Bombyx mori: one gene and its partner. The protein of the gene in region 1 purifies or fractionates together with the protein of each later gene. This does not show direct contact. Links are inferred from orthologs where the notes say so. Each region holds a gene or a part of one and is shown on either strand. Other genes may lie near its edges.

The links.
Region 2: the proteins of multifunctional methyltransferase subunit TRM112-like protein (region 1) and alkylated DNA repair protein alkB homolog 8 purify together in Homo sapiens (co-immunoprecipitation; 3 studies listed by IntAct, with this or other methods). This does not show direct contact. The link is inferred for Bombyx mori from reciprocal best matches to the Homo sapiens genes TRMT112 and ALKBH8.

Annotation. Positions count from the first base shown.
Region 1 is NC_085117.1:12,729,174-12,732,409, forward strand, and holds multifunctional methyltransferase subunit TRM112-like protein, read right to left. Parts: upstream 1,707-3,236; 5' UTR 1,521-1,706; coding exon 1,143-1,520; 3' UTR 778-1,142; downstream 1-777. Other genes in the region: DIS3-like exonuclease 2, read left to right, coding at 2,860-3,236. UniProt on the Homo sapiens protein: Acts as an activator of both rRNA/tRNA and protein methyltransferases. Together with methyltransferase BUD23, methylates the N(7) position of a guanine in 18S rRNA.
Region 2 is NC_085119.1:16,153,074-16,157,629, reverse strand, and holds the start of alkylated DNA repair protein alkB homolog 8, read right to left. Parts: upstream 2,920-4,556; 5' UTR 1,517-2,919; coding exon 1,421-1,516; intron 1,223-1,420; coding exon 982-1,222; intron 813-981; coding exon 495-812; intron 315-494; coding exon 155-314; intron 1-154. Other genes in the region: phosphatidylinositol N-acetylglucosaminyltransferase subunit A, read left to right, coding at 3,690-3,692, 3,806-4,556.

The DNA of each region.
Region 1 (3,236 bases):
TATTTTACTGCTTGATTTCATTCAGATTTAATTGTAATAAATAATGGCTTGTGTGTTTTAATGACGTTTATATTTAAATTACCCTAGTATTTCCAAACTTTTGAGTGGTAGTGTATATAATGCAAACGCACTGTAATTATACTCAGAGTTTAGAGTAACAGCTTTCTTTTCATGTACTAATTTTAGTTATATTTTGTAGATTATAGCAGTCATGTGATTGGCTTCAAATCTATAATTCTTATCATTTATAATTTAATTTAAAAGCCATTACAGCCATAAAAGATGTAATTATACTATTACAGGTCGAAGTCTCAATTACTTACAATAGTGTCCTAGCTTTTAAACTAGTATGAAGTTATCAGTATTAACGTCCTTGAGGATACAACTAAGAAGTACCATCTTGTTTAAGGTACAAGTTGAAAAAGTGTCCGCCTGTATACAGCAGGTTATTGTTTGAAGCTCACTAAAATAGTATTAGTACAGGTAGTGGTAATTGAATTAATATAGCAGCTTTAAATAGAGTAAAGTGTGCAGTAAAGGCTATATTCCAATATACACTGCGAGGACTGTTCAGTCCTCTTACTGGGGCGAAATTCGTTCCGTTGACTGACAGTATACAATCACCGTATCATAGGGAAATATATAATGTCAGAAATTGTCACCATTTTTCTACTGTGAACACTGGTATTTTCTAAGTAAGGTGCCCTCAGTGCTTTGTACATGTTATCACGTTTACAGTACATAACCTCATTTCAATAATTCAGTTAAGTTATTATATAAATTGAAAAACAATATTTTCTTTATTGAAAGGATACTTTTAGTATACAACATATGCGTAAGAAAGTTTTCCCCAAATATTTATCAAGAATCCTGAAGCAGCCTCATACTGATTTTACCTATTAAGCAACTTAAAATTTAGTATACAAGGATTACATAAAAATCTTTCACAGTAAATTATATTGTAGAAATTATAAAGTAATGGTACATTTCTTAAAATATTTAATATGAAACAAATTTACATGCACCATAGCACTTCTTTACATAAAAAATAAAACAATCCTATGTAATGTTACTGCAATAAAATTAATGCTTAAATAAAAAATTTGTTACTAATATTTTTAGTACAGGCTCTAAATTGTGAACTACTGCACTTCAGCTTCATTTAATAGCATATTAGGAATTCCTTTAGAAATCGGAAATTGTCTTCCAGATTCTGGACAAGTCAAGTGTCCCTCTTCAACTTCCACCTCTAACAAGACTTTATGAGCTTTCTTCAAAAACTCTTCGTTTTCATCATACTTATTTTCTAAAGATCTTGGCAGACCATCACTGTGGCCGATGCTATCAGCGGCCACCCATAATACTTCCCAATCCAGCTTTGGTATTACACGACTAATAAATTCAGGATTAAAATCGACTTCTTTAACTTTAATGTCTGTCGCGTTAATTGCAAGAGGATAGCCAGTCACAACACCTTTCAAGCATTTCGAAGTGAGCATATTGTGGGTAATTAGTTTCATTATTATATTTGTATTATGCAACTTCAGTAGGAATTGAAGTCTTGACAATAATAGCTTTTCACGAGTAGAACCAAGCGATTAAGATTATTGGCACTTTTTTGTAGAATTTTCTTAAAACATATTTGTTATTATGTACTTTACGTGCATAATTAGATATTTGAGGTTATGTTTAGTTTTTGTTCAGTTGTGTAGTGAGTAGTGACCTGACAGCAGTAAGTAGTGGTAGTTTTATTTTTCCAAATGGAAAGGCAAAGGTATCACACCATACAGCCTAGTCTGTTATAGATTTTTTTTTTTTTATGAAATATATTATGAAATGAAATGAAGCTGATTAATTTAATGGCATGGCATGAAATGAATTGAAATGAGATGAGATGATAATTATGATATGGGTATTTTTATGAAAAATGATGATATGGAGTGAAATGAAGAATTTGAGACATTAATCAACTGGGATGAAATCAAATGAAATGAGATGAGATGAAATATAATCTCAGTAAAATGTTGGTCGTTTACTGAGATTTTTTCAATGGACGTTTTGGATGATCCCGATAAGTTACGTCCAGCGGCTTTATTTTATTTTCCCACATTTGTGCACTTTCAAAGATACTAAACAGTTAATAAACCACCGTTATTATGCATTTCAATCTGAAGAAACACTAAATAGACAAAATAAAACAAATCACACAACTTCACTCCTCGCGTTCCCGCGAAAAAGTTGTAACTTGTTCACCTTTTCAGTCGTAGCTCGAGGTGATACTCGCGCAGAGTATAATAAGAAAGTAATAAAATAAATAATGGATTAATAGTAATTTGCCCGAGTCTCTTCAATGTAATCTATTAGTCTATTATTGTTACTACTTTTCGAAAACTGGTACAAAATTTTTGCGCCTCGAGGCGATAAGCCAGGTTCACCGAACGTGTAGGCTCAGCATGGAGAACTTACTAGCACTAGCTTTAGTTAGAGCGGTGCTTCTCTGAATCTACCACTGGACCAGAATCGAGATTCTCTGAAAAGAACTGGCGAGAAACTCAGTGGGCTCTGTCTGACGGTCAATTTACTAGCTTGACCTTTCTTTGCATTCGGAAGGGATAAGCATTTATATTAAATTGTTGAAAAAAAATATATTTACATTTTTTAAATTAGAATGGATATAAGGTCTTGTAGCCGTTGGCCGTACATAAATATTTAAAAATATTAAATTGAGTATAATTCTGTGTAAAATTATTGTAAATATTGAGGAGAAATGTAATCATTCACATTTATAGACAAAAGCAGCAGGCTTGTAATACTCCATACCTGCTTATAAGTATTTTACAGTTTTTATTTTTTTGCGCCATGTCAAGCCATAACTCATTAAGAATGGATGCAGCATGCAGTGAACCAACAACATCGGTGGTCTCCACGTCGTCAGTACCACAAAAAACATCAAGTGACAAAGCAATAAATGAAAACAAAGTCGATTCACCTAAACGAACACCCAAAAAATCAAAAAAAAAACAAAGATCAGAAGTTACAGTACCTACCATGGTATTCAACAATTCATCAATTAACGATGTTTCCAATAAGTGCCAGAATTTGCAAATTGAAAGCGACAGTGATAACGGGGAGACAGAACAGGTAACCCCAACTACCCCGTCGAAAGGAAAAAACGCCAAGAAAAAGGAACGACTAAAAAAGTTGGAAATACCTACGGTACCAGTGAATAACTTTAA
Region 2 (4,556 bases), on another chromosome or scaffold:
ACACTACATTAAGACACTTATCAGTTCTAGATTAAAAACGTCATGAAGGTGAAATTCCTCAAGAAAAAATACACGTTTATAAATTGATGATGATAATGATCCTTATTACTTTGTACCTTTGTTTGTAACTTTGTCTCAGAAATGCATTTATTACCTAGCTTCATCTTGCATTATCATCATTGATCTAGCCTCAACCATAACTGGCACATATTTCCCTGTGTGATGCTTCCAATCCATAACCACATTGGAGCCCAGTGATAGGGCCAGAATTGTTTCTCCAAATGGACTGTGTTTGTCGACATGCGACGGGATACCTGAAAGAAAAATTTTGTATTATTATTATTTTGGATTATGTGGACATGAGTGTGTGTGTCATGAGGACATTACTACTAAATCAAGAGTTCAACAACAAACAATTTCTTAGTGACTGGAAGCGAGAAAATTAATTATGAAGAACTTTAGAAAATTCATATAATAAAGTAAATAAAAATCACCTTGCCCAGGTAAGTACTTGTTAACAGTCAGCTGAACTGGTACTCCGAGATCGTAACCATAGTGTTGGAGCCTTCTCCACAGCAATTTACAAATCTTTGGTATTTTTTCCTGCAATGGGCAACTCAAGTCAACGTCATTGCTGCCATATCTGAACTCATAACCATAATGTTTGACTTGACGGTTCTTTAATGTTGTTTCTACGTGTTGTATGTTAAAGGTATTAAGGAATAACTTCTCTTCATCTTCGGTAAGAAAATCGGGTATTATATGTAAGCCTTTAGGATTTGGATGCTTACAAATAATATCAGTATCCGGAACTGAAAAAAAATCTTCATTTCACAAATATAAAAGACAGTAATTTAAAAAGGCAATTATTTTATAAGATTATTTGTTATAGGTTTTAGTTAATTTTGTTATAACCAATTATGACAAAGAGATTTGCCTTGAAATAAGATAATTCAGTAATTCAATACATTTCCAACTTACCATTTTCAACAAATGTCACATAGAGTGTTGTTCCATTCTCATCTACCTGTGCTTTCCCATTGCATGCCTCATAAAATAGTGATGCATTCTCGGCTTTATCAAACATGAGATATGAGTAGGATTCTCCTTTCTCGGCAACAAACTTAGGCAATGGTGTGTTTACCTTGTACTCTGTGAGCAGTTTCAACAGTTTTTGCTTATCAAATCCTGTAGCTTGCCCCACATTGCAAAGAATCACATTCTGTAAAGATATAAGCAATTTACCTAGTTCCAAGCCATACAATACATTTAAAATAGAAGATAATACAAATTTGTAGCAGTTTAAGTACTAGTGTTAATGAAATTTATGTTTAAATTTATATCTGGACTATTTTAAGGGATAGCAAGCTAAAGATTTTAATAAACACTTGAATGTAAGCTATGGAAATATTTTACTTACGGGCCTAGGATCTTCATAACAAACAATTCCTTTCAGAGTATTCAATCGGGCAGCAAACCGTTTGCGTTTCTTCTCATGTTTTCTATCGTCTTCCATGTTGTATCAACACTAATTACAAATATATTTAAAGCTTAGTCTAACTAAGGGAGCACTGTCACAAGTAAAAAATACAGAATCTGATACAGAAACAAATGTTCACGTTTGCTTACTTGAATTTGATAATAAGTGTATAATCTATGATTGTAATGTTATGATTGCTCACGAATTAGGTAGTAGGTACCGTAAAATGGGGCGATTAGGGATTGAGAGGCGAATCGGGAAAAAGCCGGGAAAATCTTTCGACGCTCAATATTAGTTAAAAATTCGTTTCAAAATCTTCCATTTTTTGTAGTTTAATAGTAGAATGTTGAAAGTTTACAAAACAACTCTGAATATGCATGATAATAGCTGCTAACTTATAAAAAATCGCGTTTCAAATTAACTTTCTGTGGTGGTAATTATTTTAGTGCTAGAAACTTTGCTCTCTTTTATTTATTTGATAATAATAGAAGACGACTGTGATTTATAAACGTTATTTAGTGTTTGAACCATCATGTATATTAAAGGTAAGTCTCAGTTGTTATTGGTTTTAATGTATTTGATAAAATAAAAATACATGTAAAAAGCTGTTGTTTTTGGGGATATTGGGGACGTCTTAGGTACAAATAACAACGAAAAAGGGGTCAATTGGGATGAGAATACGTGAAATGGAAACGACCTAAGTATAAATAGGTACAGGTTTGTAGGGTTGTCTATGTAGTTATAACAATATTTTTTAAATTTGTTGGTAAAAATCTGGTTTATTCATCATGTTTTTGTCTAGAACTTTTATTCAAAATTATCAATGTGTTATTTTATTGTTTGGTAAATATTTATATTATCGGTTACGTATTGTTTTCTATTTTTAGATATGCCTCGCGTGTACGTATCAGAGTGCAAAGCCTTATAAGAGATATTATCCCTTAATATTAAAAACAGCAATTGGGAAATTGCCTAATTGGGAATAAGTCTTTAGTTGAAATAGCTAAGCAATTTAATATAAAGTAAGTCAAATTTGCACAGACATGTAATAAGAACAATGAAATCTCAAGGTGGACAAAAATGTCTAAGTAATACATAATAACATATTTAATATTTGTTCAGAGTGTCAGTTTTTCAATGTTTTTTATTGATGATCACTTTGTTGGTGCAACTAAATAAATAAATAAATTAAAACCAAGTAGTGCCCACCCTAGCAAATTTCTCATTTCGTCCCAATTAACCACAATTTCCGGGTAAATAGGGATTACACCAATTTTTGCTTTTTTTGCTTAAACTGGAAGGCTAGTTGCATAGTTTTAAATTGGACAACAAAGATGCCCCCAAGACTCAATCATTTTGATCCTGATATACCATTATATACATCAACAACTACCTTAAAATTGGTCATAAAGTTGGAATTTGTCCCTAATCGCCCCATTTTACCGGTACCGTACGGTACCGTACCTATCTATTATCACAAGTAATAGGTTGGGGAAAAGTCTTTTCGCATTATAGTATGTATAAACTTGTAATAAAATCTCTTTGGCTATATTTGTGTCTGGCCGGTTTTGGTATAATTAAAAGTTTAAATTTTAAAGAAGATAATTCCAAATTCGAATTAGGAAAATGTGTGATTTTTTTTTATTTTTCTCACTGTCAAGATGAGTGAATCTAATGAAGAAATTCGATACATTTTAAAATTTTACTACAAAAAAGGTAAAAATGCAACGCAAGCCGCGAAAAATATTTGCGATGTTTATGGACCTAGTGCAGTGTCTGTGAGAGTAGCACAAATTTGGTTTAAGCGTTTTCAATCCGGAATTTTTACTAAGGGGTCAATTCTCTTCATGTCATCCCGTACCTTCGGTGTTACTTTGTCTCACTTCATTCAGTTTTATTTAATTTCGCTCCATTTCCATTTTGAAACAATAGATTTAGGCTTTTTTATAATATTTTGTTGTATGGGCTAGATTCCCTTTGCATGTCCAAAGGACTACTGAAAAATGTGTGATATCTTAAAGTGTCATAGATAGGTTGCAAGGTTAAAATTGTATTTGTTAGGTCCAGAAAATTGATATTTCTTACACATAAATTGAATACTTTATTCTGTGAATAGTATTACAGTATGTTGGATTTGATGTGATATTATCTGAAGATCTACGAAATTTGAACTATTTGTACCAAAGAAAGGTACAAAACATTCATTTAAATGGTAAAAAAATCTTATTAATCTACTGGGCTTGTACATGTGAATAGATAATTGCTCCTTATCCTACTTTTTTCTACGACAATACTTAAATAATTAATAATTATTTAACTTTTCAGGATACTAGAAAAAAGAGGCAAGTTGTTTGTATGGCTTCAGATTTCTTTTACCCGAATACCGGAGGTGTAGAAGAGCATATATTTAATTTGTCACAATGTCTCATTAAACGAGGCCACAAAGTCATAGTACTAACTCACTCTTATGGCGACAGAGTCGGTATCCGATATTTAACCGCAGGCTTAAAAGTTTACTATTTACCTATTAGAGTATTTTATGCCCAGTGCGTATTGCCAACAATGATATGTAATATAGCTTTAATAAGAAATATATTGATAAGAGAATGCATTGAAATAGTTCATGGTCATTCTGCTTTTAGTGTTTTGTGTCATGAAGTATGTATTATAGGCAAATTAATGGGATTAAAAACTGTATTCACTGACCACAGTTTATTTGGGTTTGCTGACACATCAGCTGTACTGACAAACAAGTATTTACAAATATGTCTCAGTGAGATTGATCATTGCATATGTGTATCTCACACTGGCAAAGAGAACACAGTGTTAAGGGCCAAAGTTCAAGCTCACAAAGTTTCGGTGATCCCAAATGCAGTTGATGCATTTTCTTTCATTCCTGATCCATGCCAAAGAGATCAAAAATTTATAACCATAGTCATAGTCTCAAGATTAGTGTACCGAAAAGGTGTTAATCTCATGGCTGCCGTTATAGCAGATATGTGCCCACGGTATCCAAACTTAAGATTCATCATAGGTGGAGATGGTCCTAAGATGTGGCTACTACAAGAAGTCCGAG